4 linked regions of the Astyanax mexicanus genome follow. The protein of the gene in region 4 interacts with the protein of the main gene of each other region in a pairwise test. Links are inferred from orthologs where the notes say so. Each region holds a gene or a part of one and is shown on either strand. Other genes may lie near its edges.

The links.
Region 1: the proteins of cep70 (region 4) and akap17a interact in binary tests that used the Homo sapiens proteins (3 or more experiments, as listed by UniProt). The two-hybrid records come from large-scale screens. The link is inferred for Astyanax mexicanus from reciprocal best matches to the Homo sapiens genes CEP70 and AKAP17A.
Region 2: the proteins of cep70 (region 4) and uncharacterized protein LOC103043983 interact in binary tests that used the Homo sapiens proteins (3 or more experiments, as listed by UniProt). The two-hybrid records come from large-scale screens. The link is inferred for Astyanax mexicanus from reciprocal best matches to the Homo sapiens genes CEP70 and EMD.
Region 3: the proteins of cep70 (region 4) and yju2 interact in a two-hybrid assay, tested with the Homo sapiens proteins (2 studies listed by BioGRID and IntAct). The two-hybrid records come from large-scale screens. The link is inferred for Astyanax mexicanus from reciprocal best matches to the Homo sapiens genes CEP70 and YJU2.

The regions. Positions count from the first base shown.
Region 1 is NC_064418.1:639,241-647,734, reverse strand, and holds the start of akap17a (A-kinase anchor protein 17A), read right to left. Parts: upstream 3,168-8,494; 5' UTR 2,997-3,167; intron 1,173-2,996; 5' UTR 1,162-1,172; coding exon 406-1,161; intron 1-405. Other genes in the region: sowahca (ankyrin repeat domain-containing protein SOWAHC), read right to left, coding at 8,093-8,494. UniProt on the Homo sapiens protein: Splice factor regulating alternative splice site selection for certain mRNA precursors. Mediates regulation of pre-mRNA splicing in a PKA-dependent manner.
Region 2 is NC_064419.1:7,954,799-7,963,066, reverse strand, and holds the start of uncharacterized protein LOC103043983, read right to left. Parts: upstream 3,589-8,268; 5' UTR 3,494-3,588; exon of another isoform or gene 3,358-3,493; intron 2,934-3,357; 5' UTR 2,930-2,933; coding exon 2,848-2,929; intron 912-2,847; coding exon 816-911; intron 488-815; coding exon 453-487; intron 363-452; coding exon 331-362; intron 241-330; coding exon 190-240; intron 1-189. Other genes in the region: soat1 (sterol O-acyltransferase 1), read left to right, coding at 7,164-7,284, 7,864-7,922. UniProt on the Homo sapiens protein: Stabilizes and promotes the formation of a nuclear actin cortical network. Stimulates actin polymerization in vitro by binding and stabilizing the pointed end of growing filaments. Inhibits beta-catenin activity by preventing its accumulation in the nucleus.
Region 3 is NC_064411.1:46,961,490-46,969,049, reverse strand, and holds the start of yju2 (splicing factor YJU2), read left to right. Parts: upstream 1-3,994; 5' UTR 3,995-4,101; coding exon 4,102-4,125; intron 4,126-5,258; coding exon 5,259-5,359; intron 5,360-5,453; coding exon 5,454-5,598; intron 5,599-5,689; coding exon 5,690-5,824; intron 5,825-5,986; coding exon 5,987-6,168; intron 6,169-6,920; coding exon 6,921-7,077; intron 7,078-7,560.
Region 4 is NC_064430.1:21,251,686-21,259,965, reverse strand, and holds the start of cep70 (centrosomal protein of 70 kDa), read right to left. Parts: upstream 3,258-8,280; 5' UTR 3,050-3,257; coding exon 2,969-3,049; intron 2,871-2,968; coding exon 2,771-2,870; intron 1,194-2,770; coding exon 1,070-1,193; intron 1-1,069.

The sequences.
Region 1 (8,494 bases), on a different chromosome or scaffold from region 4:
CTCCAGAGCTGTTCTGACCTCAATGAGTACCACGCACCGCGTTTTGCTTAACCCATTCGCTGCCGCGCCAGTGCAGCGGCAGCACAGATAAATGACAAAAAAATTTATATTCGATATTATGAATTTTGAGATCGTTTGACACCAATATCTATCGCGATCAAAATATATTTGATATATTGCACAGCCCTATAGTGTAGGACTTACACTTGACATATTAATACTGAATTCACCACAGTTGTGCTTATATGGAGCATTTTACTACCGCTCAAAACGCAGTCAATCAGATTTGACAGCCATAAAAAATGCGGTAATGACGGTAATGAGCTCATCACCGCGGTGACGTCCCATAACCGCGGTATTGCGGTAATAAAATTATCGTCACAGCCCTAGCTGCAGGTAACTGACCTTAATGTTGCAGGCCACAGCTTTCCCATCGTCTCCTTTATACATCAGCTTCATCCCTCTCAGAGTGTCCATGGCTTTGACGAAGCCGGTGTGGTCCTCGTACTGGATGTACCCTTCGAAGTTCAGATGGCCGCCAAACGAGAAGGTGTTGAAGTTCTTTCCGGTCATTTCCTCTCTGTAGGGATCCAGCATGGGGATATCTACGTTACGGATTTTACCGAAGTTCTCAAACACGATTTTAAGAACAGCTTCTGAAGGCCGGTCTGAAGAACTGTCCTTCAGGGCGAACCACTTGCACGGGAGTCCCTCCAGATGGATGGTGTCCGGACGCTCCCCGGGGACGGTCTCGTTCATGTCTTTGGCGTCTCTGAAGAAGGAGTCCCAGTCGTGGCGGGTGGGGAAGTCCACCTTGTTCTCCGCCGCTCGGACCTTCAGGATGTCGGTGAAGCCGCTCAGCTTGATGCTCTTTCCGTCCAGCTTCGCCACGAAACTCTTAACGATTCCCCGATTCTCCACCTCGCCCTCGAAGCGGATGAAGTCCATGGTGCTTTTGGAGATTCTCAGCGAGGAGAAGAGCTCCGGGTGAACCATGTTCTTCAGCCTCTCCATCACCTCCCAGTTGGAGATGGACTTGCCAGGCATCTTGAGCTGAGGCAGGGCCACGCTGATGGTCATCTTGGCGATGGGCTTCAGGTAGAGGTGGTACTCCTGACACAGATGCACAGCTTCCGTGGTGTCATGGATGATGGTGGTCATTTTGGAAGCAGCTGGAAGGTGAAGCAGAGGGAGTATGAATGAGGTGAATGGTGAAAATGACTAAAGACAGAAAAAGAAGTTGAAAGTATCTTCTTTTTGTTAATGTTTTATTTGTAATACATATATATTAATATATTTACACATTTTGGAGGGTTTAAAGGAATACTTAGCTAATACGAATCTTTGTTGGTTTACAGCAGGAGATGCTAGGCTAACACTGCTAACAAACCCTTTCTTTAGGATACCAAACATGCATTCATTGGTTGATGAACTGAATCTGGAGTTAATATCTCCAAAAGTTAACGCCTACATTACTTATCGAGTCTCTTCTCAGAGCTACATATTCCTTGTATTCCTGTTTTCTGTATTTCTTTCTTCTGGTAACATATTTTGTTTTGTGGATTGCTGCAGCTTTTAAAGTGTCTTATGGAAGTTGCTGTCACTATGATCCACAAAATCTCTCAACATTTTGATTGCACATTTAATTTTTTTTTGTGACTGATGAAATCATTTTGTGGCCCCTTACTGGAGCACAGGGATGTAAAGGTTCTCTATGGAGTGAATTTTGTGCCAAACGTTTTACGCAAAAAAATAAAATCCGCAATCAAAATCTTAAGAATCAAAAGAAAAAAGTGTATGGGGCAAAATCAAAAGAGAAAAATATATATACATTTACATATACATTATTTATTTATACATATACATATACATTTTTTTGTATTATTAGTATTATTGTCATTTTAAGGTTTATAAGTTTTATTTTATATTATATTGTTTTCTATTACATCTTATTTGAATGTTCCTTTTTATCTTTAATTTTACAGTTTTTTTCTCTCCATTTTTCCTTTTTTAATAGTGTTTTGATTGCCTTTTTCTATGTACAGCACTTTGAGCTGCATTTTAATGTATGAAAGGTGCTATATAAATAAAGCTTATTATTATTATTATTATTATTATTATTATATACATTTATAAAAAATACTTGGATACTTTATTATTCTTTCCAGACATTTGAATTTTGCCCGTCTCTGCTTAATTTTTGTAAAACCAGTAAAAACTGAGCCAAAACTCAGAAGCAAAAAAATGAAGCAGAATCAAACAAGAGATTCCACAAGCAAAAGTCTTTGACAGAAAAATCCACAAAATTCCACAAAAACACAGAGGAAAAAAAGGAAAAACGGAAAAATCCAAACTAATATTCTTATCAAAATAACTGCCAATAATAATAATAAAGTAAACCAAGTACATTTAAAAATATATATACTTGCTTATATACTTAATATACTTTTTGCAAACACTTTTGGCACAAAATTCACTTCATAGTTCTCCAATTCATTCACTGATAGAACTATGAATGGAAACATAAATCTGAACCCTTTAGATTTAGGTTACCTAGTTGAAAGCTTCTAAAAGCTTTAACACAGAAAATAATCACAGTAAATGGTGATAAATAAACTGGGAGATATCTGAAGCACTATTTTACCGGAGTTCTGAGAGGAATTTGGGGTCAAAACCGGTAACAGAGGAGGAGAAACAGCAGCCCGGTTGTTATTAACCTCTTACTCATGTAGCTAACAGATAGCTTAGCTTATGTAGCTACAGGTTAGATAGTAAATGAACCTTAGCGCTGTTTTACTAAAAAACACGTTTTTAATGAGATTTCTGAGCTTAAATGTGAAATATTTTATCAGATAAACACACAAACCTTAATCACAGATCCTGAATCTTCTCTGATAGAGTAAACAGAGAATCACTATTTACTGAATCCAGCTGCTGATTATCCTTTACTGATGCAATTACTAAACCATCAGAAACATTATTAACCAATAACCTACCGGAGACACCGCGCTGTCTGTCTCTCTGTCTCTCTCTCTCTGTCTGTCTGTCTCTCTGTTTTATTTTCTGTATTTTTACATCTTCAGGCCTGAAAGCGTCCCTCACACAGAGCCGCACAGTGAATCCAGCAGCAACCGACTACCGCCCGGCGCTCTGCTCACACACATTTCAAAATAAAAGCTCTATAACAATTAAATATCTATATTAATTATCTATACCGTCTGACATTTGTTTATACCAAAGACTGAAGTTGAAAAGAAAAAAAAATATTTTGCCATTAAAAATTGTATATTGTAAATATTTGTAAAAAAGAAAATGATAATAATAATATATTACATCTGGTAAGTAGTACTGTAAATAAACTGAGCTTTGAAAATTTATTTTAAACAATGTAAATTTACAAACCCTTATTCTGTAGTAAAGCAGTGCTGGTACAGATGGTGTTACTGCACTCTCTACTGCAGCCTTTACACACTTACACACAGCACTATTACTATTAAATTATTTTCTTATTGTTTATTAAACTGCTTTCTCATTATTTTAAAATAATAAGTCCTTAGATTAAGATATTAAGTCATTATTTTGCTATAGTTATTCCTTATTTTGATATAGTAAGTCCTTAATTTAAGATACTATCTCATTATTTTAAGATTCCAAGCCATATTCTTAGATAGTAAGTACTTATTTTGACTTACTATCTCAAAAATAATGAGATGAATTTCCTTAATAATAAAAAAAGAATGTGCTGTATTTTTTTTAGGTGACGGAAATGGGCTTCCATTACATTTACACTTTCATCATACTTAATGTTAATATAATAACAATAAACAGTGCTGAAAATAAATTAAATAAACATTGAATACAAAATGTACTACATTAATATAAATATACAAAAATACAATAATAAAAAATACCATGCTGTAAAATAAAAAAAACAGCCTGACGAACTAGATTCAGGGCACGTCCCATTAACTCAATACATAAAGGACTTTTATTATGGCAGGGGTCAGAAACGTTAAACGTGATAGCTTCTTTCACAAAGCCGAGCAGTAGCGCCATCAGGCGGTGTAGTGTTACAATACCTTCATTTATAATACATAACCTTTTCTTACTGCTATTATCCATCATAATAAAAATCATTATATATATATATATATACGATATTACATTTTTTTATTTCTATTTTGGTGCTTTTTTTAAAACACTAGAAAATTAATTACTACAAATGTACAGAATAATGTATAACTAAGCTGTAAACAGTATCTTATTCTATTGCACACTAACTAAAACAAATTCACACAAAAGGAGAAAATGTTCACTCTCAGTTTGTTTATATATTTGTTTTTTGTTTGTTTGTTTTTTTTAGTTTTTTGTAGTAATGAGCATTGATGTGTTTTATTTGTCTGAGGGCACAAGTGCATGTTGTGTTCTCTCTCTCTGTAATTAAACTCGAATAACACAAAAAAACACCATCATAACCATCATAATGGTGCATTAACTGCAGGCTGGCAGAAACTGGCACAGTTTCCTGGGGGATCTGTGCTGGAAATGATGTAACAGTGATGAGCTCACTGGTTTTATAGGTCACTGTTCACTCAATGTCCCACTAATGTTAACATAAAGCAAATTAAATAGTGTTAACAGATAAATAGATAAATAGAGATGTAGGACAGGACTGAAGAACACATACACTCAGCAGAAAATACAAAAATGAAGCTAAATCAGAGTTTAACATGTTTATTTTAGTACAGTTTGATTACAGATGAGCATGATGAGTATGGATTGGCATGGATTGGTGTTGCCATGTTGATTAAAATTGGAAAAATCATAACTGGCTTCACCCACCTTCTCCTTAACAATTCCTTCTTTTAAATATCTAAAAATATAGTTTTAATCATGTTTGAATCATGTTTTATTCTTATTTAATTTTGGTATCCATTTTATTTATATATATTTTTTTATTTGACTTCTCGGTGTATTTTCTAGTTTGTAAAGCACTTCAAATAACCGTTGTGTATAAAAGGTGCTATATAAATAAACTTTCCTTGCCTGACCATAAACAAAAGAAAAGTTTTTATATTATTATTGATATTCTCTAAAATAATTCTTTATGCAGTCATACACACTCCCCATATTTTACACTGAACTGTATGATTACACTGGGTCTCTGAACATTTGGTAGATCTGACTTTTTATTATTATTTATAAAATATTATATTTTATATATTATATATTTTTATTTGTATATATTGTACTGTTTATTTTATCTTTTCTTTTTTTACTGAGTGCCTTGCTATCCCTTTGCTGTTGTAATACTATGAATTTCCCCACTGTGGGACTAATAAAGGAATATCTTATCTTATCTTATCTAAATTAACATTTTAAGTTAAGTTAAGTCTTCCTCTTAGAAGAAAAACTAAACACTATGAATTAAAACAGATGTTTAGAGTTTCATCTTCTCAGACTCTCAGTTATCAGATGTGTGGAGGAGGATCAGGTAACTTCAGTCTAATAAATAATGAACACACTCCAGATGGCTGACTATTATCTACTCTGAGAAACGATCAATAATGAAATAATGATTCACTGATAAATTGATGAGAATAAAAAACACTGTTAAAGTGTGAAACTGAAGTTGTTCTTAAATAAAATTGTAGAAACAATTTCTATTCTATTTACTGAATTTATCACATAGAAAAAATAAGAAATTAATGAGTATATGTACATTTAATGTGCCAGCACTTTAGTATGTTTTAATATGTTTTAGTGTGTTAAAATTAATTGTGTAGCAAAATGAGAATGTAATGTATTTACACTTTATTTAACACAAAATCATCACATATTATTAGATTTGCTCATATAATTTCATTTCATATTACAGTATAATTTATTTATTATAATATAATTCCTATATACATTATTATAAGTTGATTCTTGCTGTGACTATTTTATATAAATACATTTATATGTAACAATAGTATAGTATAGTATAGTATAGTATAGTATAGTATAATACTTGTTTTAAGTAATGATATCAGTTGAATCCTCACCCACCCGTGAAAACTGTGCCAAAACTCAGAAGCAAAAAAAAATGTAATTCCAGGAGCAAAAGTCTTTATCCGCAAAAAATCCACAGCAAATTTAATTCTCTTTTGAATTTGCATCATATACTTTTTCCTTTTAATTCTTAAAAAAAAAAATGATAGCGGATTTTATTTTGTTTGCATAAATTTCTGGCAAAAAAATGTACTCTTTACAAATCATTGTAATATTACAGTCACATTATTCTATATGTTTTTTACAGAAATCTGAAAATAAGAAGATTAAATGATTATATGTGCAGTAATCTCATTTATTGTAGTACAGAATAAGCAGCACAAACACTGAGGAGGTGAAGTCTGAGTCTGATCCAGTTTCTCTTTTACAGGAGGATTAAATTCTGATCACATTCACAAAAGTAATGTTCCAAATAATCAACAAGATTCAGATTATAAAAATATATAAAAAGTGCATTACAAATAAGCATGTACAACATATTAAACATATTAACATATTAAAAGCAGGTGTGTAACAGTCATGATTGTGTTTCACATTTATGCATAAACGCACATCTAAAGCCACCAGTACCATTTTACACTTTACAATAAATGTTACATTAATTACAGTCCTTATAACAGAACATCTCAACTAATGATTAACTAACATTTAAATATAATTTACATACATTTTTCTTAAGTATTAACATTTTTGTAATGTCAAGTAATTTTTAATAATGCCTTAAGTAGTTTCAATTAAGAATTTGTTGAGATATTAATTTTAAACATTTAATTAGGCCTGTCACACAAAATATATATTTGTGTCTATATATTGTCCCATAAATAATTGCAATAAAGGACAATTTTATGCCACTGATATAACAATAATTGCATAGCATAAAATTACAATTACATGAATTGTAACAGTAATTAACTTTTTTAAAAGAAAATTTAGACATTCAGACTGACATGAAATATATATTTTAAAATATATAAAAAAAAACAATCATAAATAAAATGAAAGCACAGTTTGTGAAGTAAACATTTTGGCTATTCACATTAATGTGATTATTTTTTTTTGCTAAAAAAAGCATAATATAATGTGATATTAATATATATATATATATATATATATATATATATATATATATATATATATATATATATATATATTACTTTAGGAAGTGCTGTTAATTGATGTATCCTTATTGTAAAGTGTTTTTAAGCATCAGAACAGCAACATTAATCCAGTTAAGGACCGGAAGACGGAGGAGCAGTAAAGGCACACTGTTCACCATCAGAACACCCAAAACAGAACCGTGCAAAAACTACACCAGGTTTACAGCAGGCAGCGTGCATATTTTATATTTCACAACTTTATAGCATGAATGTGCTTCAGAAATTCACTAGCTAGCATCCCAGGTTAAAGGGAAATTCCACTGATTCACCTACATTCTTAATTCATGTTAAAAAGAGATAAAAAGAGCAGGATTTGGTGATTGTGATTGATTGTAGAGAAATATACTGACTCAGATTTCTTTACTTGTGGTGAATAAATGCAAGCATCCTTCTTCTATACCTACAACAGAAATATAGACATTTTTAATATGGAATGTTGAGAATAATTTAAATCCATTCACCACCATTCTCATTATTTTTTCCCAATTGTCAGAGAATTTTAACACTAAACCCACTCTGAAATAAAATACCTGTACTTCATCTACATCTTAACCATGTATTTAAACTGTGTATTTAAAATTCTACCTTAAAATATAGCAAAGTGTCAAATGCATTGGTCCAGTAGTGCTAATCCCTATTGGTCACATTTTCACAACATAGATTAAAGCTTTACTAATTTGTTTTTTAATTCGTTCTTGTTAAAGAGCCTAAGTGCTTGGATATCCAGGCATATCTGAGTGTTTAAGCCCATTAGCGAAACGGGGAGCTTAGTGCCGCGTGAATGCTTCAGGGGGTGAAACAATGCTACACTGTCCGACAGCACCTAAGAGGTAAAATTGGGACAGTTTCAGGAAAGGTCCTCGTTCAGAGACGTTCCTCTATTATCCAAAGAGGTTAGATACGGGTCTGGACTTGACCGGACTCTTCAGGGACCGGTTGCCCTCTTCTGTCTCTCTGAATGAGGTGCTGTGAACTATCTGAGTCCTTATCTTGCCTCTATTTAGCTTGATCCTGCCAATGGAAGCCTTGCGATACAGCGATTTTGGCTTGGCCTGGCCGTCAGACGCAGGTTCCTCCAGCGGGTTGAGAAGTCTCAATGGGTTAAGGTTGGACTGGAGAACTTTGGGAAGGCGCCACCATCCAGCACTGTACTCTACATTTTCAACACCCAAGTCAAAGTCCTTGCAAGCTCCTACAATATCCTGAATGTCCTTCGCCACCGAGGGATCGAGGTACTGGGAAGGCTTCTTCCCACTGTAGTCCCTCGCCTCAAGGTCCGCATT
Region 2 (8,268 bases), on a different chromosome or scaffold from region 4:
GAACACGTTAATATTAAAATGTATTTATTCATTCATTTATTTATTTTTATCTGCGTATCAGTTTATCAATTACAGTTAAGACACAGATCTAACATTATGATCATTATCATTATTATGTATTACAACTACTAATATTTTTATTATTTTTATTGTTATTACTATTAGTGACATATTAAACAGGACACTTACTCATCAACAGTGTCCAGTTCCTCATATTCAGACTTCAGACCTGGGTTTGTCCTGATTAACAGAAATAATGTATCAGCTCAGTGACATTACATCAAAGAGCATTAAAGCAGGAGCTGGAGCAGAAACTTAAAACGTAATTACCTCCAATCACCTCCGTACCCCTCCTGCCTCAACTGTACCAACACAGAAAACAGTGAGATCATCCTCATCACCTCTTAGATAAAAGAGAACTGGTAGAATTAAAGGTGAGAGGTTTGACTTACCGGTCGGCGATAATGAACGTAGGGGTCTTTCTCCTCTGAAAGAGAGACAGACAGTTATTAAAGGTGTAAAACTGATTCAGAGCATTTTTACTAGGGTTCTCCTGATCTGATCCAGTGGATCAGGATTTAAAACACACAAATCACAGCAAATTCACCCTCTATAAACCAGTCATTATACATCTGTAGATCAATAAACACTTAAAGATCCATCTGATCAGTCCAGAGTGTGTACAACACACACATACACACAGAAAGTCAGTTGTCTGTGGTGCTTTAAAAGAACTTGGCGCTAAATGGTAAGCCTGGATTAAAAGATATTAAACACACTATACAACTGTAATTTTATAAAATTATATTTTTTACCTTCTCTGTAAAAGGTTCGTTCTGATGGACGTTTGACTTTTCTCTCTTTAGCCATGGCTTCTCTCAGCTTCTTCTCATACAGAGTCCTGGTCGTTTCTGACAGACCGTCACATTAAAAACTGTTATAATCTTTTCCTTTTATCCAGCACTGATTCATACTGTACGTTACGCCATTAATACACCCAGCAGGCTACTCCATTGTACACCCTACAATTTACCCTTTAATTCATACTGTACACTACACAATAACACATCGCACACTACCTTTAAATTCATACTGTATGCTGCCTCTTAATACATACTGAACACTACCCCCAAATTTATACTGTATGCTACCCCTTAAAACATACTGCATACTACCACTAAATGTATACTGTATGCTACCCCTTAATACATACTGCACACTACCACTAAATTCATATTGTATGCTACCCCTTAAAACATACTGCACACTACCCCTAAATTCATACTGTATGCTACCCCTTAAAACATACTGCACACTACCACTAAATTCATATTGTATGCTATAATACATACTGCACGCTACTCCTAAATTAATACTGTATGCTTCCTCTTAAAACATACTGAACACTACCCCTAAATTCATACTGTATGCTACCTTATAAAACATACTGCACACTACCCCTAAATTCATACTGTATGCTATCCCTTAAAACATACTGCACACTACCCCTAATTTCATACTGTATGCTACCCCTTAATATATACTGCACACTACCACTGAATTCATATTGTATGCTACCTCTTAATACATACTGCACACTACTCCTAAATTCATACTGTATGCTACCCCTTAAAACATACTGCACACTACCCTAAATTCATACTGTATGCTACCCCTTAATATATACTGCACACTACCCCTAAATTCATACTGTATGCTACCTTATAAAACATACTGCACACTACCCCTAAATTTATATTGTATGCTACCCCTTAAAACATACTGCACACTACCACTGAATTCATATTGTATGCTACCTCTTAATACATACTGCACACTACTCCTAAATTCATTCTGTATGCTTCCCCTTAAAACATACTGAACACTACTCCTAAATTCATACTGTATGCTTCCCGTTAAAACATACTGAACACTACCCCTAAATTCATACTGTATGCTTCCCGTTAAAACATACTGAACACTACTCCTAAATTCATACTGTATGCTTCCCGTTAAAACATACTGAACACTACCCCTAAATTCATACTGTATGCTTCCCCTTAAAACATACTGAACACTACCCCTAAATTCATACTGTATGCTACCCCCTAATACATACTGCACACCACCACTAAATTCATACGGTATGCTACCCCTTAATACATACTACTGCACGCTACCCCAAATTCATACTGTATGCTACCCCTTAATATATACTGCACACTACCCCTAAATTCATACTGTATGCTACCCCCTAATACATACTGCACACCACCACTAAATTCATACGGTATGCTACCCCTTAATACATACTACTGCACGCTACCCCAAATTCATACTGTATGCTACCCCTTAATATATACTGCACACTACCCCTAAATTCATACTGTATGCTACCCCCTAATACATACTGCACACCACCACTAAATTCATACGGTATGCTACCCCTTAATACATACTACTGCACGCTACCCCAAATTCATACTGTATGCTACCCCTTAATATATACTGCACACTGCCCCTAAATTCATACTGTATGCTACCTTATAAAACATACTGCACACTACCCCTAAATTTATACTGTATGCTACCCCTTAACTCATACTGTTTGCTACCCCATAACACACCACACACCACCCCTAAATTCACACTGTATTTTTTTTCCATAATACACACCACACAACCACAAAATTCATACTGTTTGCAATCACATAATAATATACTCTGTACACTTTTCGTTAATTTATACACAATGGTGTGAGAGGGATACTAAACTAGATCACTATAATAATGTTTTATTCATTAATAATAACAAATAAATAAATATTATTAATAATAAAAGCTTACCGACTACAGGACCATGTTTTATCCCGTAATCGTCCAACATCCAGCCGATCTCCTGATCACTTTTACTGCTCAGCATCGCCATCACTCTGTTATTGATAAGATATTTAATCAGGGATTGGTTTAATCAGTTATTGGTTTAGTCAGTGACAGTAATAAACAAAACTTTTATATAAAAAGAGATAATAGAAATGAAAGCAGCTGTATGAGCAGTTCCTCTTCCTCACTGTGCTTAAATTCACTTTCAGTTCACTTTAGACTAAAGGTTGGTTTCACTCTGTTCTGGGTGGAGACTCTCTACTGAAATTAATAAATAGTTCAGGACTGTTATTAATCTCTGTCCGAAAAATTAATCCAAATCTCCTATTCTACAAACGCAGACCTTCACAGACTCTGAATTTCCACAAATAAACCCTGTAGAGTCTCCTCTCACCCACAGAGTCTCTATTATTCACATTAATATTACCACCGATCCTCAACACTGACTATACTAAACCCGTAAACAACACTCACTCACACAGCTACAGTTCTACAGCCCGCGGTTCGGTTCGGGTTAGAGTTCTACAGGCCGCGGTTCTGCAGTTGAAGGTAATAAATGTATTTCTCTCTGTAATTATCTGAACATTCTCTCAACTGTGATTAAACTCACGCTCTGAACTCCTGCAGCTGCTGCAGTACATAAACAAACGCTCTTCCGCTTCCAGGCGGAAGTGATGCAGTTACTGTGGTTAACAGCGCTAATGCTAAAGCTAATGCTTTAATTCAGAGTTTTATTCCTTTATTATTTCTTTCTCAGCTTTATTCTTAAAAAAATGAATGTAATTGAAAAGTTACTTTATTTCAGTTAATCGCATATATTATATAGATGTATTACACACAGAGTAGGCTAATCTTTTAAGCATTTATTTATTTTATTGTTGATGATTATGGCTTACAGCCAAAGAAAACCCAAAAAATCAGTGTCTCAGAAAATTAGAATATAATATAATACAAATTGGTACTTTTTGTCAGTGTGGGCAGTGTTCCAAATCCTGCTGAAAAAAATGAAAGCCGCTTCTCCACAAAAGTTGTTAGCAGAGGAAAGCATGAAGTGCTGTAAGATTTTCGAGAAAAACATTGCATTAATAAAATCATTAAAATCATCCTGAATATATTGCTCTGTGTGTAATATATCTAAATGATATTATCTATATAAAATGTGAAACTATATAATAGTTACTGAAGTATAATATTACTTCAGTACTATCGACTTGGCCAGGATATTCCTTAAATTTTAGAAAGTATAATGTATTTTTGCTAAAATAAATAAAAGAAAGAAAACTTACCTATATATTTTATATGTTTTTCTTCAGAAAATTATGTATTTTGGTACTGAAACATGTGACATTGGTCTGTGTTGAGAAAATAAGAACTTGTTCAGTATGAAAATGAAATGAATATTTATAAACTCAATTTCTCCATATAAACCGTTTATTTCGGACTCACTCTAGTGCACCCTCTAATGGTCAAACAAACCTGGAAGAGATTCTCAAGTGGGAAGTCTCACATTAGGGGGTTGGGGATGAGTTGGGGAGCTAGGTATGAGTTGGAGAGTTGGGAATGAGTTGGATAGTTGGGGTTGAGAGTTAGGGTGAGCTGTGGGGAGATGAAGATGAGATGGGGAGTTGGGGATGAGATGGGAAGGTGAGGATGAGTTGGAGATAAGATGGGTAGTTGGGGATGAGGTGGAGATATGGAGATGAGTTGGAGATAAGTTGGGGAATTGCAGATGAGATGGGAAGTTGGGGTGGAGTTGGGGATGAGTTGGAGATTTGGCGATGAGTTGGAGAGTTGGGGATGAGTTGGGGAATTGCAGATGAGATGGGAAGTTGGGGTGGAGTTGTGGATAAATTGGATAGTTGGGGAAGAGTTGGAGATTTGGCGATGAGTTGGAGAGTTGGGGAAGAATTCGAGATTTGGCGATGAGTTGGAGAATTGGGGATGAGTTGGAGATTTGGCAATGAGTTGGAGATGAGATGGGGAAGAGTTGGAGGAATTGGGGATGAGATGGGAAGTTGGGGATGAGGTGGGGTTAAGTTGAAGAGTTGGGAATGATTTGGGGGTGGTGATCATTAAAAATATCTTTACTGTCATCACTATCTCTCAGTTCCTGTGGTTGAATGCAGTTTAATCCTCACAGCAATGCTCTTCTCCAAAAGTTTGTAAACATCTTCTCACTTTGGACAGTGGAGGCAGTTACTCCAACAAAAACAGAATTGTATTTTTCTTTTTTTTGACTTGAGAAGAAATAATGAATAAATAAATGGTCAGGTGTCCCAAATACATTTGGACATATGGAATATAGTGTATGTTTCATGACGTCCATATGTCAAATCTAGAGTCTCTGTTCAAAACAATTCCAGTGATTGGCACAAATCCTGTCATACAACCTTATCGTAGCCAATCGGAGCGGACAGTGGGAGCGTCACTCAGCTGTAGCCCCGCCCACTGTGCAGAACGTCTTCCTTATCATGAGGAGGTTCAGCAGCTGATCTGCTCGGTTCTCCAGCCTAAACAGATTCTCAGAGAGATCCAGAACCTTGAGTAGGTGTGGGACGATCTGACAGGTGAGTTACATCATGTTCTTTTTGTTTATAAGATCAAAGGCCGGGAGAAGACCCAGCGCGAGCACTTCGTGCAGCTTCAGATCAGGGTTCCAGAGCCCGCTCAGAACCCACAACATCTCCAGACTGCGCTTCTGTCTGCAGAACCTGCTCAGATTTTTTTTTACTAATCCTCAGTGAAATTAAGTAGATCTAGGACCTAATTTGTGACGACATTTTTATACCACTTTGATCCTCCACAGACAGGTGTGTGAGATCATGCTTTGATGTTTTTATTGATGTTAAAGAGTGTGGCTCGAGACAGAACAGAATGAATAGAATCACAATGAAGTTTCAGTGTTTCAGTATTTTATATTAGAGACGCACATAACATTAAAAGAATCATCCATAACATTAAAAGAATCATCCATAACATTAAAAGTATAGATCCCCCAAGGTGGCAACAAAGTATAAAGCAGACCTTAAAAGCTATTAAAAGTATTTAAAAAAGCATTCTGTATATTTGAATTAAATAAACCCGATTCTGGATAAACTTGAAATATGTAATGGCATAATGCACACATTCAAATTTTAACAATGCTTTTTTTTTGTGTGTTTAAAATGTTTAACCTTGTAAAGTAAGTTTGCTATTGAAAACATATACACTTTGAAATAATGACTGATTTTCAGATTTAAAAAAAATTATTTCACGAACTGATGTTTGACTCCTGGCCAGAATTTGTATTTCATTTTTTTTAAGTTTTAAAATGTATGGATCAGATTTTAAATTTGAAAAAATATATACAATTTAGTTTATTTTGTCATTATTATTATTTTGTATAATTTATAAACTGGAATTTATTTACAATTTGTTTTGAACTTGTAACTTGTTTGCTGTAGAAAAAAATACATTTCAAAATAACTTAAGATATACATATTCATATTTATATATATTTAAATCTATCTACTAAATGTCTAAATTCACCTCTGGCTTTAGCTAGCATTTCTTTTTTAATAAAAACGATTTGCATTTATAGATTATATTTTTTTTTTATCTGACAATGTAAAAATAAATAAATAATTAAGTGTATTTTTCAACAGCAAATTTCACTACTTTTATATTTATTCTAATGTCCATAATTTTCCATATAATGTGTCATGATGACTGGGGCTGCAACGGTTAGTCGATATAATCGGCAGTATCGATTATTTAAAATTTGTAAGCTACAAATTTCATTGTCGACTAATATTTAAAATTTCATGTTTAAACAACATCTGGACATTTAAATGGCTTTTAAATCTTATGCTTAGCTGTTTCTATTGTTTTTAGCGACGGAGAACATGGCAGGAGAAATTGGTGACTAATCAACTAATCGGTAAAATAATTGTCAGATTAGTCAAGTACCAAAATAATTGTTAGTTGCAGCCCTAATGATGACTGAAACTTTTTCACAAAAGTATATAGAAATAATTAAGTTGTCTTCAATAAATAGAGGTAAAATATAATATAAATGCTCAAATAGAAAGACAAAGATACCTTTTTTTTTATATATACATACATTGACTACATTGACTAAATTGACTAAATGTAGCATTGTAACAGAAAAAAGAATTCTGTGAAATATTTGCCCAGCTAAAGCTGCCCTAGCCAACTGTAAGTGCAATAATAATTGAACCACAAGGCAGTAGATCAGGTTGAAAGACACAAAATCCTTCCTGTCTTCCAGCAGCAGGAAGATGGAAGATGAAGATGAGATCGAAGGTCGAGCGACAAAAAGAGGCTTCCACAAATTAACAAGATCAAAAGAATCGGACAGCACAGTGAACCAGAGGGACCTGCACAACACCAACGGTAAAGGTAAACTACACCAAACTACACACCACCATACAATACACTACACTATACTATACACTACACTACACCCTACTATATCAGACTTTTATCCGATTTTCTAGATGTTCTGCAGATGTTGTGTTGTTCTGAATCAGCACACAGCAGTGGAGTACTAGCAGAGTATGAATATATCTGTTTTCTGCAGTTCTCTGTGTTTTGGATGAATTCCAGTTTAAGTCACTTACTGCAGAACAACAGCAGCACAGTTTTAAACAGTGTGTATTGTTGAGGAACGCAGTCTGGACCTCTGTTAGAAATGTTGTGACCTGTGTGGGAAATGTATCTGGGCAGGTCAGAGTGCCCTGTGCTGTAGGTGTCGTCCACCAACCATCTGCCAGTGCTGCTACTGTAACCAGTGCAAATATTTGACTGGTATTGTACTGACTTGTTGACTCATATATTGGCCATATATTAATCGTGTGGTAACCTAGCAACAACACAGCATGTGTTTGTGGTTACATAAGAGCAGAAATCAGGAACACTGTTCATCCTGCTGAATAAATACTGATTCATTGATTGATTTGTTCTTTCTGTTTGTTTTAGGAAATGTGGAGCTGGACCATATTCTTCAAAAGAGGCTCCTGCTGAGGAGAAAAGTTCAGGTGACCGAGTTTATTCTGTTTGATTGCATGATTTGTGCCAGAGTGTTACATGAATTACATCACTGTTACCTGATTTAGATCAGAGTGTTATGTTGTGCAAGAGAGGATTTGTGTCCTGTAAATCTGCAGGACTTGTTGCTGAAATCATGATTAACACAGTTTTCCCGTCTATAAAGGACAAAATTGCATGATGTGATTGTCTCACTTCAGAGGAAACGTCTGTTGCAGAGTCACATGTCTGAGTCACATGTCACTCTGCAGGATGAGTTATAGTGTAGAATAATTCAGATCAGTCAGGCCGGGGTTAAATCAGCTGAAAGTTCAGACTGGATGGGGAAGTTAGTTG
Region 3 (7,560 bases), on a different chromosome or scaffold from region 4:
ATTCTGGTAAATTTAACTAGTTAAATTAGCTAGCTAGCATTAACCTAGCTATCTAGATAGACTTTTGACATTATGGCAGCTAGCGTGTTAGCTTAGCTAGGTTAACCAGCCTATCTAGCTAGTTAGGTTAACTATTTCTACACTGTTTTAATGTAATAAATATATTATTTGCATTTTTATGTTGAATATAATAATAAATTCTGAAAACACTTTTCCTAAAATAGTTTTGTTAACTAAGCCAATCGTAGCTTACGTAACTGTAACTTTTCCTGAGGTAACTTGGTTAGCTTAGGTAGGTCAAGTTAGCTAACTAGCTAGGTTAGCTAAGCTAGCTAGTTAGCGTAGCTAACTAAAAGTTTAAATTGAGAAAAGGCGAGGTTATTTTTACCATCTCCTAAATTAAACATTCTTAAACCTTAAACCTACTTTTGTATTGCTATATTTATTGTAACAAAAATCTTTTTACATACAAAAATTTTCTTTGCATTTGTGACAGATTTTTTTTCTCCAAATAACTAACTTAAAAGTTTAAACTGAAAAGGGTTATTTTGTCCATTTCATAAATTAAACCGTTTAAGGTTAGATGTACTTTTACATTACTTTTTATTAGCTAACAACAATTTTTGTAACAAACATATTCTCACAAAGAGAGTTTTATTTGCTTTTTTGACTGGCTCCTTTCCAAATAACTGGGTTTTAAGCGTTTATTCAGGTACATTTTGTTAGATGGGTTAGCTAGCGTTAACCTAGCTAGCTAGGTAGACGTCCGGCGGCTAGCGAGTTAGCTTAGCTAACTAGGTAAACCAATCTAGCCAGCTAGTTAGCGTTAACTGTTTCTAAGTTGTTTTATTGTATTAACTACATTTTTATGGTGAATATCATAATATTTTTAAGTACTTGTATTAGCTTACCTACATATTTACTCCAGGGAAGCCTAATTAAGCTTTTATAGCTAACTAACTGTTAGTTGACATAGGTTGGCTAAGCTAACTGGCTAAAAGTTCATATTAAGAAAAGTGGCGGTTATTTTAACCTACTTACGCCTGAACTCTGCTGATCACTGCATGGCGTCCGCGGCTCCTTCTCCCGCTCTCTGCCTCTCTTTTCTCCTTCTCTTCAGTTCGCAGAAGCAGTTTGTTCAAACTTTAACATCCAAAATAGCTCCATGGTGAACGGCGGTTGGTGTAAGAAGCTTCAGCTACAGTCAGAACTCCGAGCGAGGAGCTGCTGAAGAGCCCGTCTCTCTGCGCTCAGCCTCGGTCTCCTCACTCACAGCAACAGCAGCATCAGCAGCCGCACTTCACTCATTCTCTCAGCTCCAGGGAGTTTATAGCTATATATCCCAGATTTTTACATTCACAGCAGCCTGCGACCACCCCGGTTCCACCACCACCGCTTCCCGCAGCTCACACACATTATTTCAGTTTTTTCTCTTTCAGAAAAGGAGAGATGGGGGGAATAAACCGCGCGCGCGTCCCCTCCCGCCCGCGCGCATCTGAGCTGAGGGATGGGGAAGGGATTACGGCGCGAGAGACGCGCTCTGTTTTTAATTATTGTGATTATTCATCACTCTTAATCACAAACGAATAAATAAATATATAAATGAGTAAATAAATAAATGCCGCGTGAATGGATAATTATGTGGGTAATTACGTGGGATGGAACGTGTAGAGTAGCCTATTCTTTCATGGGTGACTTCGGTTTTTGCTGTGAATTTGTTGATTTTAACCTTCAATATCAATTCAGCAAATAGTATGTTTAGCACAAGTTTTACAACTTTCATCAAGCTGTTTTGGATCCGTTTTTTTTAGCGGGTGCCGGCATTTTAACCAGCATTTAATAAAGCAGGCTCGCTTTTCAGCTGCCGGGGTTGGCCAAGACTTCAGTTTGTGCACTTTTACGCGCCCCATGCGCTTTTTTTTACGCGTGCCCTGCGCTTTTACGCGCCCTGTGCAATTTTAACGCATGTCACACGTAAAAGCGCACGAGGGTTCTATGCGCTTTTATGCGTGTTTGTGCGCTTTTATGGATTCCGGGCGCCTTTACGCATCCCGTGCGCTTTTATGCATCTCATGCGCTTTTATGCGCCCTATGCGCTTTTACGCGTGCCATGCGCTTTTACGCATAGTGCAAAACAAGATAAAAACAAGATAAAAACACTCTCAACAACAAAAGCACTACTAAGGTAGAGATAATGGTGTAATTCATCTGTAATTTTTAATATTCTAATATTTTTTTGAAACATTGTTTTCGAATTTGTTCTGTTTTTTGTGATATTTTTTTATCCACATTATAAGCAGTAATATACGAATTTGCTCTCTTTTTTGAAGTAAAAGTAAAACAATTTCACTTAAACCCAGTTATGTAAAAAACAAACAAAATAGCTACACGAAAGTAACTACACAAGTGTATTCTGGTGTTTTTTAACAAAGAAATTCTATTCTGTTTATAGACTTTAAACCCAAAATCCAGATATCTCACTCTCTGGGAATATGATAACTAATAATTATACAACTATTAAAACAACTTAACTTTCAGTGAAAGTTAGTATGAAAAGATTTAGTTCAACGCAAGAAACAGCTTAAACTGTTAATAACTTAAATGCTGCAAAAACCTAAAAAAAAATGAATTTTTGTGGAGATACACAGCCCAGCTGGCCACCAACGGCAATAGACGTTAATTTCATGTTGAATGTTGGTCATGACGTCAGATGACAAAAAAATTACGCCAGGATAACGTCTAATACTGTTACGTGCCAGCGTGGAGAGATTGGATATGAGGAATTTGCTCACGAAGCTGGGTTGCGGATACATCAGAGTTTCAACAAACAGTTTATTACTCTCAATCGGCCTAAAACAAAACACCTTCTTTAAGGTGGTGCTCCTGCTGCTGTAGACTACGGTTCTTCAATCCTGGTCCTGGCGCCACCTGCCCTGCTAATGTATGGCTTTCTCCTCTCTCAACACACTTGATTTAATTCAACAGCTTACTAACAAGCCTTGTCAGAGTTGAAGTGGGTGTGTTAAAAAAGGATTTTCATTAAAATTTCTTATCAAACATAAAAAAACTTTTTATCTAATGCTCGAATAGAAATCCTCAGGATTTATTCATATAATATCAAGCAGAAAAGTGTCAATCGAGAAAATATTATAGAAAAATACATACTAGTAAACTAGCTCGTGACCAGCATGGTGTATGTTTTTTTTTTTCTGGATGACCAGCTAACATTAATCTGTATTTTTAAAAGAATAATATATTTCTATGACAATTTCAGATATTTAATTGTTAATATTTTAGTGCAGGCATCAATATAAAGCTCTGGAAAAAATAAGAAATCACTTAAAAATGATGAGTTTCTTTGATTTGACCAAATTGAAAACCTCTGGAATATAGTTAAGAGGAAGATGAATGATCACAAGTTATCAAACCAAGCTGAACTGCTTGGTGGCATAAAGTTATCCAAAAGCAGTGTGTAAGACTGGTGGAGGAGAACATGCCAAGATGCATGAAAACAGTGATTAAAAACCAGGGTTATATACCCTGATTTCTGAACTCTTAAAACTTCATGAACATGAACTTTCTTTGCATTATTTGAGGTCTGAAATCTCTGAATCTTTTTTGTTATTTCCATTTTCAACCATTTCAATCATTTTCTGCAAATAAATGCTCTAAATGACAATATTCTTATTTGGAATTTGGGAGAAATGTTGTTAATAATTTATAGAATAAAACAATGTTAATTTTATTCAAATATAAATAGCTAAATCAAATAAACTGATTGAGAAACTGAAGTGGTCTCTTAATATTTTTTTCAGAGCTGTATATGACATCAGCTGTCGTACCACCATGGGTTGCTCTGTGGTTTAAGAGCAGCTTGCCTAGAAATATTAGGAAAAGAAGCATTAAGATTTGATGCAATATCGCCCTCTTCTGCCTCATATTTACAGTGACATCACTGAGGATGGCTGCAGTTTTCCCGGGTGTCTATATGGGGCAGTAGAGAGCCAGTCTGACTGTTTCTCCGTTTCTCTGTGGAAGAGAGTGAGACTGAAAGGAGTTGTGTGTTTTTCGGGCTGTGTTTTTTATTGATCTGCTGCAGTCATGTCGGAAAGAAAGGTCTTAAATGTAAGTACATTAAATACTCTTCTATTTCTACTTGTGATTAAATGAAGCAAATGAATAAGGAAGCGATAGGGTTAGTCAGAATGCTAATATGCTAACCTGTTAGCTACATGAGGCTAACTGACTAAGTTAACCTAGCGCAGGTCTGAAGATAGCTACAGACACTAGCTTAGCTAACCCAGGTAAACAGATAACCCAGGTAAACAAACACAGATAAATACATAAACTCGAGTATCTGCTGTTAAACGAAACTATTTACACAACATAATTTCAGAACGTGATAAATTGAGGCTAAACCCCTGTAAGACGTTTTCATTAACTTACCTGGCTAGCCTAACAACTATTTTGTGTTAGCTACATTTCTAAATTAATTTGTTTGATGTGTTTTTCCTTATATACTGTTAAATATTTAGGTCAGATTTAGAAATATACTTTAGAATTAAGTTATTAAAAGGTTCACGAACTTTCAAGCACAACTACAGCTACTTACTTCCAATACATTTTAAAGTACAATGTTACAGTAATAGTCCCTCGAATAGTTCACTCGAATAAAATATTATTTTGCTAAGGTTGCACAATATTTCATATATATAAAAAGAATATCCATGTTTTCAGTAGAAGTGACCAGAATTAACACGTTTAAGAAAATGGTAACCTGTTTTTTTAGTAATTATGTCATGTAAAAAAATAAAAGCACCACAGATTTCCGTTTGTATCAAACACCAAAAAAAGTCGTAACATTACATGTTTGATATAATTTGACATCCTACCTGATACCTGCACAACTTGAGCAGATTTCTGAGCAGAATTGAGCGATATTTCTGTTTGGATCAATTTGTTTGACTTGGTTTTCCTTATATACTAATATGACTTGTGTCAGATTCATGCAGAAATATGACAAAAAAAAAAAATAAAGGGTTCAGAAACTTTTAAGCACCACTATAACTACTTTTGTCTGTGCACATGCACAACTTGAGCACATGCTCATACTGCTGCATAAAGATAAGATACTCTTTTCATAAATGTATAGCAATAATTTTAGAAAATCTAGCATGTTTCTACATGTTCTTGGACATACGTTTTGTGTTGTTGTGATGACTAATTTGTTTACACACTGCATGGTATTGCTTTTGTAGAAATACTACCCCCCAGATTTCGATCCATCTAAAATCCCCAAGCTCAAACTGCCCAAAGACCGGCAGTATGTGGTCCGATTGATGGCTCCATTCAACATGAGGTAAGAGACTTAGAAAATTCATTACTTACATGACTGGTTAAATTGTGTTGTTTGTTCGTTGTTTGTTTAAATGTTTCCTATCTCTTTGCTTCAGGTGTAAGACGTGTGGAGAGTACATTTACAAAGGGAAGAAGTTCAATGCAAGAAAAGAGACAGTACAGAATGAGCTGTATATGGGGCTGCCCATCTTTCGCTTCTATATTAAATGCACAAGATGTTTGGCAGAAATCACATTTAAGGTAAGCAAGTGAAGTAATAAAAAAATACATGGAAATTACATTTCCATCTTCACTGCAGTCTTAACTTTCTGTTTTTCACATTTCCAAATAGACAGACCCAGAGAACACAGACTACGCTATGGAGCACGGTGCCACAAGAAACTTTCAGGCTGAGAAGCTGATTGAGGAGGAAGAAAAGAAAATCCAAAGGGAACGAGAAGAGGAGGAGCTAAATAACCCCATGAAGGTAATATTGAACAACTTATTTTTTATTTGCAGCATAATAAATACTTATACTAAAGACCACCATTATTTGTTGCCTTTATTATACTTTCTACTTAACCATTAACTTTTCTCAGATACGCCAGAATTCTGTTTAGTTATCCACATGCTCTGGTGTTTCCATCAGGTTCTAGAGAACCGTACACGGGATTCAAAAATGGAGATGGAAGTCCTGGAGAACCTACAGGAGCTGAAGGAGCTGAACCAGCGGCAGGCTCAGGTGGACTTTGAGTCCATGCTGGAAGAGTACAAGGAGCTGGAGAAGAGACAGAAGGAGAAGGAGCAGGAGGAGGATGAGAGAGAGACCAAGTATGTGCTTTATACTACTTGTGCTTTATACTATACTACCCAAGTATGTGGTAAGTATAAAGAAATCTTCAGCCTTTATTTGAATCTTTCCTGGAAAAGGCTCGAAGTTGCTAATGATGAAAGTTGTTCATGCCAGAATGTCATTCCCTGGTTTGAACGTGGACGTTAAACTGTAAAACAGCCTATAGTGAATATGCGTTTACAATGAACTTATACAGAGTGTTTTAGTCCATTTTTTTCATTTTGAAACAATACACAGTACGGTCCAGTCAGAGCAGATGTCATTTGTATGTGTTAGGTTAGTAAGCAGTTGAAGATGCAAAAACAAGCTTAACTTTTAATGGCAATCAGTGTGTACAAGTTTTGTTCTCTCAGATTATGGAAAATGAAGAAACTGGTGGGATGATGCTATTTTTATAGACTATATGAATGAAAGAACTGTTTGTTCTGTTCAGGGAATGTCTTCTAGTTTTATGAGCATTGCTGTGAGTATTTGATACCCCTCTATCCTACACCTGGCATTGGGCAAGGTGGCATGGTGGCAACAGGTTCATGTTTATTTGCTCCAGAATGTAATATTCCAATAATAATACTTGTATGTTAAAGGTTAGACAAGCTGGCTGTATGCATACATTTTAAGAACTGTCCATGTATTTCTTAAAAGACACTTTTAAAAGACACTTGGTCTCAAAAATGTTCACATGTCTATTTTCTTTTTCCCCCCTCCGCTTTTTTTATTTCCCTCTCTGCAGAGAAATGCTGGATAGAGCTTTAGTGAAGAGGTTGAGGGACTCTGACTCGGACTCGGACTCAGATCAGGAGGAAAAGAATAGAAAAGAGCAGCAGAATAAAAACGCTGCTCTGAAACCCACAGATATCCTGACTACAAAGGAAGGAGCAGACATAAAGGTACTTTAAGGAACAAACATATCCTTGCTGCTGCCTTGTGAGGAGATGGACAGTGATATTTGAATCTTACTGCTGGTTTTTACAATCTATGAAAAACTCTGCATAAAGAATTACATTGCTTAGGAATGTTCATTTTCTGGAATTGGAATTAAGTTTTACAGAACAAATTTGTTTGTCCATGAGATTAATTTGTCTTAATGAGATATGTAATTTTAGATTCTAGTCAACTCTAGGTTCTGAAATTTTTGTTTGTCCATTTTAGCTTCTTTTTCCCCAGATTTCACACATATAAATCTTCTATTATCTTCCATTTTTGGTTCAGTTTTGCCCATTTTTTTTTTATAATATTGCCCACACTGGTCTTAGTTATCTTCCAAAATGTAAAGTATAGCTAGAGTAAAGGACATGTTAGCATTGTTGCTTTAACCCCTTGAACCCTTGGTTTATTGATCAGTTAGTCATCATAAGTAGAAATTATCTCAA
Region 4 (8,280 bases):
ATATGTTCTATATGTTACAGTATGTCACACATCTCTGCACCTTATCCCCACTATACACTTTATTATACCGTATCGGTACTGCACTGTCCTGTCTTTAAATTGTCTCGTCTTTTGTATTTATTGTTATTTAGTGTTATAATTTTATAATTTTACGTTGCACTGTCGTCACTCCTGCATTTTATGTTGTCTATTGCTTGTTGTTCTATGTTGCACCATGGTTCCGGAGGAACGTAATTTCATCACACTGTGTACCTGTACTCAGATGTAATGACAATAAAAGCCTCTTGACTTGACTTGACTTGATCAGTAACTGACCTGACTGATACTGCTGCTCTCATGTGGCTGAATGCAATCTAATACTCTACACAGCAATGTTCCAAATTCTGGCGTAAAGCCCTTTCAGAAGAGAAGAGGTGGTTACTGCATTACAGGAGGACCAATTCCCACTTAATAGCTGAAGAGGCACTAAATATTTAGAAACTAAATAAATGAAAAGACAGAATAATTTAAATTATACAGAATAATTTATTTAATAATTTATTTTAAGTCAAATTGTAGTGTTTCCCCTGAGGAGGCATGAGCTAGTCTTCATCCTCCTGGTGTGTTGGGGCATTACTAGTGATTGGGGGGGTCCTAATGAGTGGGTTGGGTAATTGGCTGTGTAAATAGGAGAGAAATGGTGGAAAATATATATAATATATAAATAAAATAAATTAAAAAAAAAAAGATAAATAAAAAAAAGATTAAAAAAGAAAAGCACTCTCAAGGTTTTGTGTGACCAGAACAGTACGGCTGGAATAAATTAATCTTTAGAATAAAATAATAAAATAAATGTTTTAATGCCATGATATAAGAAATATAATGCAACAGTAGAAAAAAGCGGTAATTTTACTAAATCCAGTGTAAGGCCATGTTTAGTATTTAGCATTTAGCCAGTTGTTTACTTTAGTTCAGTTTCATTTATATATAAAAAATAAATTAATAAAAATTAATGCATCACTACTAATAGTCCTGATTTCAGAAAATAAAAACATGGTTTGGGTAAATAATACTGTAGAACATGTCTTACTTCAGCTGGCTGTTGGACTGAATGAGCTCCTGGATGAGGGCCTGCCTCCTCTCAGAATCTGTCAACATTGTCTTCAGCATGTTCCGCATTTCAGCTGATGATGTTCTCTCCAGCAGAACCAGGTCTAAAGAGCACAAACAATACAGCTTAGATCTGATTAAATAGAAAACTTATCAATACAAACACGGATACAAACAGTCATAGTGTAATGTTGTGCCCAAAACAAACTAAAACTAAATCAGTGTGTCTTAAACCTGGTTTACACAGCAGATCTTTCAATCTGGTCTTTTTTGTTGAATGTGACACAGATATTTGATCTATGTGGCAGTGTGAAATCCAAAGAACACACTGAGTCTAATATTTGATTTGGGCCACTTTAGGTAGATCAGATTTTTGATGCAACACTTTATATGATGTTTAAGTTTCACATTAGCCGCATTACAGGAGCTATTAAGGAGTTTCAGTAGATGAAACCTGGACTTCCATTCAGATTGCAGTTATGGAATCCTGTGATGTTTCATTAGAAACACTGAGTGGTTGTGACACAATCTATGAATTACGTTTAAAAGAAGACTTCACCCCATCTATAGGGCTATTATCTTTTATGAGGTCATTATTCAGCAACTGAACCCCTGTCTCACTGCTGTTGTCCATTTTCCCCTTCTCCTTACTGCCATTTTTTTCCATAAATGACGTAAAAGTCACATACATTCCTGTCTGTCTATTTAGACTGAGTTGCTTTGCTACAAATTAGACAGGTATCAGATTTCAATACCACAATGGAAAATTACCCAAATCGGAACTGAAACTGTCAGTTTTTTGCCTTTTATACTGCCAAACTAAGAACACATCTTTAGCTCTATCCAAGCGGGATTTATTTCTCAGGGGGTCTTGGGGTAATTTGCTCTTTTATAGGGGGGTCCTCTGTGATTTTATTTCTGTTCAGAACGACCATATACGTGTTTTTCTCAGACGTCCTGAGAAAATGACAAGTTAAATTACCTACTTCTTCGGTGAACTCCGTGTTCCTCCGATAATTTTAGTCATGTTCAGACAGACATCTCTGAGTTTCATCTCCTCGCGTCCACTACCATGCATCGTAATTACACTTTGGGCGCATGTTTCCACGGAGATCCACGTAAACACAACAACGAGTAGAAGTGGAGGAGCTACTGAACGCAATGTCATGTGACCGAGAAAACCATAAAACTCACTGAGAAGAGTAGAAGTGTGAAATATTTTTCACAGACAGCCACCTGAGAAACTAATCCTGTCCAAATAGGGCTTATGTCACATACAAGGGAAAAAATCAATTTGGGTCACTTTTATATGCTATTTGTCCACAGCCATAAGTGGTACTAAAATTCGAAATATTTCCTATTTCTAGCAATGCAAGTGAGCCTCAACAGCCAGATCAGAATTAATTTACACCAAGGAGAAGGAAAAAATGTGCGTCAGATATTTATGAAAGGCTAACAAACACCCCTGCACCTCTGTAAGAACTTGTCAATTAACTGATTAGTTGAAACAGGTGTGTTAAGAGAAGAAAAAGCAATAAATGTGCAGAGCAGGGTGAGCCTAGCATCTCTCATAACTAACTAAAGAAGCACACAACACATATCAAATATGTCATTATACCAATAATGGCTGTTTGACAGATTCTGAAGTGAACTACTCCTTTAAAAACTAGACTTAGAATACCTGCCAGGTTCTTGTTCTCTGTTGGATCCGCAAAGCGAACAGGTTTGAAACCATGATGTTGCAGCATCCGATTAACAGCGTCCCAATCCGTCTGCTCCTGCTGCAAATTAAAATCAAACACCTCAATCATTACACAGTTTCTTACCAACACTGCTGAGATTCAGAATGGAAAGATTTGTGCAGAGCATCAGTAGCTACCTGAAACTGACTGTAGTTCCACAGAAAGACATACGTCTTATCTCTAGCATGAAGCCGAACAGTCAGAGCTGTCCTGTCCATCTCTTCTCTACACCTTCACTCAACTGACCTAAAAACTACTGCTTTTGACTGCTTTTATGGAAAATACAGAACACAGTATACAGGTGACTGCTCTCTTCTGCTAGGTGCCCAAGCCGAGTTCCTCTGCTCCTCTGGGGACCAGGCTGGTGTACAGCCCTTCATTTAAAGGGAGGCTGGTGCAGATCGGATTACAACACATGGCTGCTCAGTGAATGGGTAGAAAAGATGCAGCTCACCTTTTCCATCATAGTGTCCTCTTCCTCTCTGAGGGGATCTCTTCTGTTGCACAGGTTAGAAGATTTGACCACCCTTATAACATCCTCTCACCTTTTTGGAGTGGGAGAGTTTCTGAAAAAATACATCTTAGAATCAGTGAAGTAGTAAACTCTCAGAAAAATCAAGAAACTACACAGCAGCAAAGAAAGTTCATTTATACAGCACTTTCATTCAACGGTCATTCAAAGTGCTTTACAAATTAGACAATTCAAAGAGAGTCACATAAACATGCAAAAGAATGACATAAAAAATAAAAATGGAAATAAAAATAAAATAAAAATGAGAACAATAATAAAACATGATTAAAACAATACATTTAAAAGAAGGAAAATTAACGAAATTAATTAGAATAAAAGTGCTGTTACAGCTAGAAAAAGACATTTCTAACAGAATTAAATTTTAATGTTTGACAAAGTTAGTTTAAGATTGACAAACCTTAACCCTACACCTGTCTTCTGATTGTTCTATGAAATGTTAATTAAATGACTAATGACTAATTTGCCTTATAATGTAATGCATATATGCATTTATCCACTAAAATAGATTTTAAAAATACATTTTATGCCCAACATTGCTCTTACAAAAACTAGATAATTTGACCATAATTAGCCCAGACCTATCAACACTGTACTGGCCTCCAGTCAAATTCTGCATAGACTATAAAATTCTCCTGTTTACGTTTAAAGCCCTGAGTATTTGCAAGCCCTCATCTCTTATTATGAACAGTCACAACAACATAAATCACAGGGAGCTGGTTTCCTAGAAGTTTCCAAAAACCCTTTTATAAACCTCAACAACTCTGGAATAACCTTCCAGAAAATGTTCAGGGCTCAGATAGTCTCATTCTCGGAAGTCTAGTTCAAAAACGTACTTGTTTAGTTTAGCTTTTGGTAATTAATGTTCCCCTTAGATAAGGCTGCAGATCCAGGGGTTCATGGACAGAGGGAATTGTGGTAAACTGAGATGCTGGTGCTGTTGTTCTCCCACTGAACGTGGTCACTCAGGTTTGTGGACGGTGGAGTGGGTGGTTGCCGGTGTTTCAGGGTGCCTCTGTGTCTATGTTACCTTCTGGCTCTCTCCCTGTCATATAGTTTGCTCTCCATAAATCCAGTCAAAATTCATTTTGACTTCCTACCTTCTTTCAAGTTATTGACTGCCAACCTGTCCAGACTGACACTAATGGATGTTTGACCCTCAGGTCGACCCTTAGGTTCTCAGGTCACCTGTGTGGCCTGATGGAAGTCCCCGTAGATCAGGTTTCCCCATCACCCAACACACATCAGCTGTCCATTGTTCAGTTTTTGCCACCTGCATTGGACAAGTTGCTCACTCTCCACTACCGATTACATCCAAGTTTGTATGATACTCTAACTAAGAATTTTCTAACCGCTTCCACTGCTGGTGTGGCTATTTATCTGAATATAACAACCATAGAATGACTATTTAACAACCAATGATTAAGTTCTGACCAGAGGAGAATGGGTCCCCCTCCCCTATATATTAGCCTTGATAGTATGTGTGATAGTATATGTGATATAAGGTACTCCTTTATCTCTGAGGGAGTTTTTCCTTGCCTCCGTTGCTCGCTGGGGGTTCTGTATTGTATGTCCAATGTTGTCTGATTCTCTGTCCTGTGATCACATTTCTGTTAAGCTGCTTTGTGACATCAGTTGTAATACAATCGCTTTATAAATAAAAAGTGATTTTTTTTATTTGACTCTTAAAACTAGGTGATCTAACACTGTTTATCGTATTGTTATGATTATTTTGTAACGATATCAGTATATAAAGACCTAATGTTTGTTTTGTTTGAGTCCTGATAAACTGTACATTTGTAATGATTGAATCATTAATCAAATTTGATGAAAGGAGGATAATACCGTATGGGAGAGAGAATACTAAATAACCTAGGTTATATATTCGATTTTGCACTACTAGTTAATGTAGTCACCACCACTATGAACAGTTATTACACCGAACCTTATAGTTATATTTATTCATATTATATTCATAATGTATTTCTATTTAATCGTAAAGTTGATGAATTAAGTAAGATAGATAAAACAATGTGCAAACTTTTATAAAACATTAAACAAGTTACTTAGTAATTTAACCCTGCTATTAGCTCAGTCAAGCTGTAGCTCAGCTGCAGATATAACGTTACGTGAGTTTAGAAAACCTGTTGTTTATCTGAAAACAGTAGATTAACACTAACGTTAATTAGGCTATCTGAGCTATAGTTCACCTAATCTAACAGTTAGCTCAGTTAGCTCTAAACCTACAGCTGCTGCTGTCAGCTAGGTTAGTTAGTTATCTTAGCTTAGCTTAGCTCACACCAGCGTTTTACTGCATGAGACGGATTTTAAGTTAATTTATTAACATAAGCGGGAATACTGAGACTAGTCCTACCTTAGAAAGTTACGGGAGGACCATCGTTTAGTTTAAGGTCGGTTTTATTTCTCTGACCCGCAAACAGAGAGCGCTTTGTTGGGGTTTTCAAAATAACTGCAAAAGTGACACATGAGCTCGATTCCGGAAAACGGACCAATAGAGGACAAGATAGCCGAAGCCACGCCCCCTGTCCGTTCACCGCGCGCTCTGACTAAAAAATAATTAATTTTTCTTTAAAATAATGTGTTAAATCTGTGTACAAATTACAGGACTATTTTGTGTTTAACAACCCAGCGCCTATTTTTATTTTATTATTATTGTACAGATTTGCAGTTTGCTGTGTGATACCTTAGTTTTTTAAGTATTTCATTATCCTTTTTTATTATTTTATTTTTTTTCTCCTTTTTGTATATGCTTTTGGAATAAAAAAATATACAGTGTTTTTACTTTGTAATTTTAATCACATGAAAACAATTAAGCGACACATAAGGAAACTAGTACTTACGTAGTAAACATAATGTTTATCCTCCACAATCTAAACCTGATCTAAACCTTATCAACTGAGATGGTGATTTGAGGTGAGTTGGGATGAGCTGGAGCGTCATTAATTAATGTTGTTATATAAAATCATAACTAATTAAGGGACTTTATTAATTAAAGTGTCGGTGTAACGTTAATTGGTGTAATAGATAGATAGATAGATAGATAGATAGATAGATAGATAGATAGATAGATAGATAGATAGATAGATAGATAGATAGATAGATAGATAGATAGAGTCAAACTTGCTTTAAATGAGGATGTAAATACTGTAAGTTAATGTGGAGCTGCATGCACTGGTAAAATGTGTCCACAAGAGGGCAGAAAAGACACATAAACGAGTAAGCCCATTATCCTATATCTTAGTATGTATTCCTCTGAAGACGGCAGCGGACTGATAGTCTGAGCGTTCTGGAAAAGTCTAGAAAGGCTGCATGAAGTTTTGTCAATTTATACTTAGTCGTAACCTTGTCTAAGTCTGCATTGTTCATATTTAACATAATATTCCTGCCCTCTGCTTTCCTTTAAAGGGTAGATATTATGCAAAACTCACTTTTTGCGTGCTTTTGTATTTCCATCTGGGTCACGACTGTTTTTATAAACACTCCAAGAATCACATCAATCCATGCGTTTTCTATAAATCAGGTTCAGGCGGTGGTTTTAGACTGCTTTTTAAAGTCAGAGCTAATGATACTGGCTAAAATTGATGTATGAAGTAAGCTAATTAAAATGTTGCATGTGTCTTCAACAGAAAACAACGCATTTTTGTGTTTCCCATTCTTATTGAATGAAATATTCATAAAATACATGCTGAAGTCTGTATTAGGAGAGATTAGCTCCAAGTTAGTAGCTTGTTTAACAGCTAGCTGCTAATACCATACCTGTCAAGTTTTGGACTTAAAAATAAGGGATTTTTTCCGCCGCCCCAACAGCCCAAACGAGGGGGGAAAAAAAAATATATATATATATATATATTTTTATTTATTTTTATTTATTTAATAGACTTAAAATTGAAATTGAAGGGTGCACAAATTTACAAATAGGACATGGATCAGATATATTCCATAAGTAAATAATAGTCCTAAGGGGCCTACACAATTAATAATCTTTCATTAATACTTCTTTCTATCGTTCAGTCCACTCCTGATCAGTTCAGTTAATTTCAGCCCTCTCCACATTTTCTCTCTCTCCAGCTCAACCATCTCTTCTACCCCTTCTAAATAATACATTACATTACATTATAATACATTACCACAATACTTGAGATTTAAACAAATTCTAACAAACCCTAAAACTAGCCCTGAACTAATAGAGTTTGGAAATGATAGTTATTGGCTGATCAGGCACATCAGGGCAGGGCATTATATATATATATATATATATATATGTAGATTTTTCTCAAACCCTGAATATCTATCTAGCTAATTCTAAAGTTAAGCTAACTGAGTCACAAGCTGTATTTTATTAAACACACAGTGGGTTTAATTTGTGTTTTGATTCAGAGAAGAGTCTTTTTAACCAGCTATCAGAAACAATCTCATCACAGTTTACATGGTTAGTTACCTTTCTTTTAGAAAAATCTCCGTATATCCAGATTAGTTTTAACGACAGCTGCTCCGACTAGCTGCCTGAACTCACAGCGAGGGGAGGGGCGGGGCTTCCCGCACACTAAACTGCGCTCCGCAAAACCAGCTAGCTGATTGGCTGTTTCTCCTGAAAGGCGGGACTTTCTACTTGAACCGGCACCACGATTGGTTAAGAGACACACAGCGGTCAGTGCATTGTCGCCTGTGGCCTATATATTTTTTTATTTAGTATAATACGGGAAATTTACGGGAAAATACTAATACGGGAGGACGGCGGGAAAGAGGAGTAAAATACGGTAGTTTCCCGGCCAAAACGGGAGACTTGACAGGTATGGCTAATACTACAGGTTAAGCAACAAAAGGGTTACAAGCCAATAACACTGAGCAACAACTTACCACAGTTTAGCAAACGTTACTTTGTGGAAGACAATTTAAACT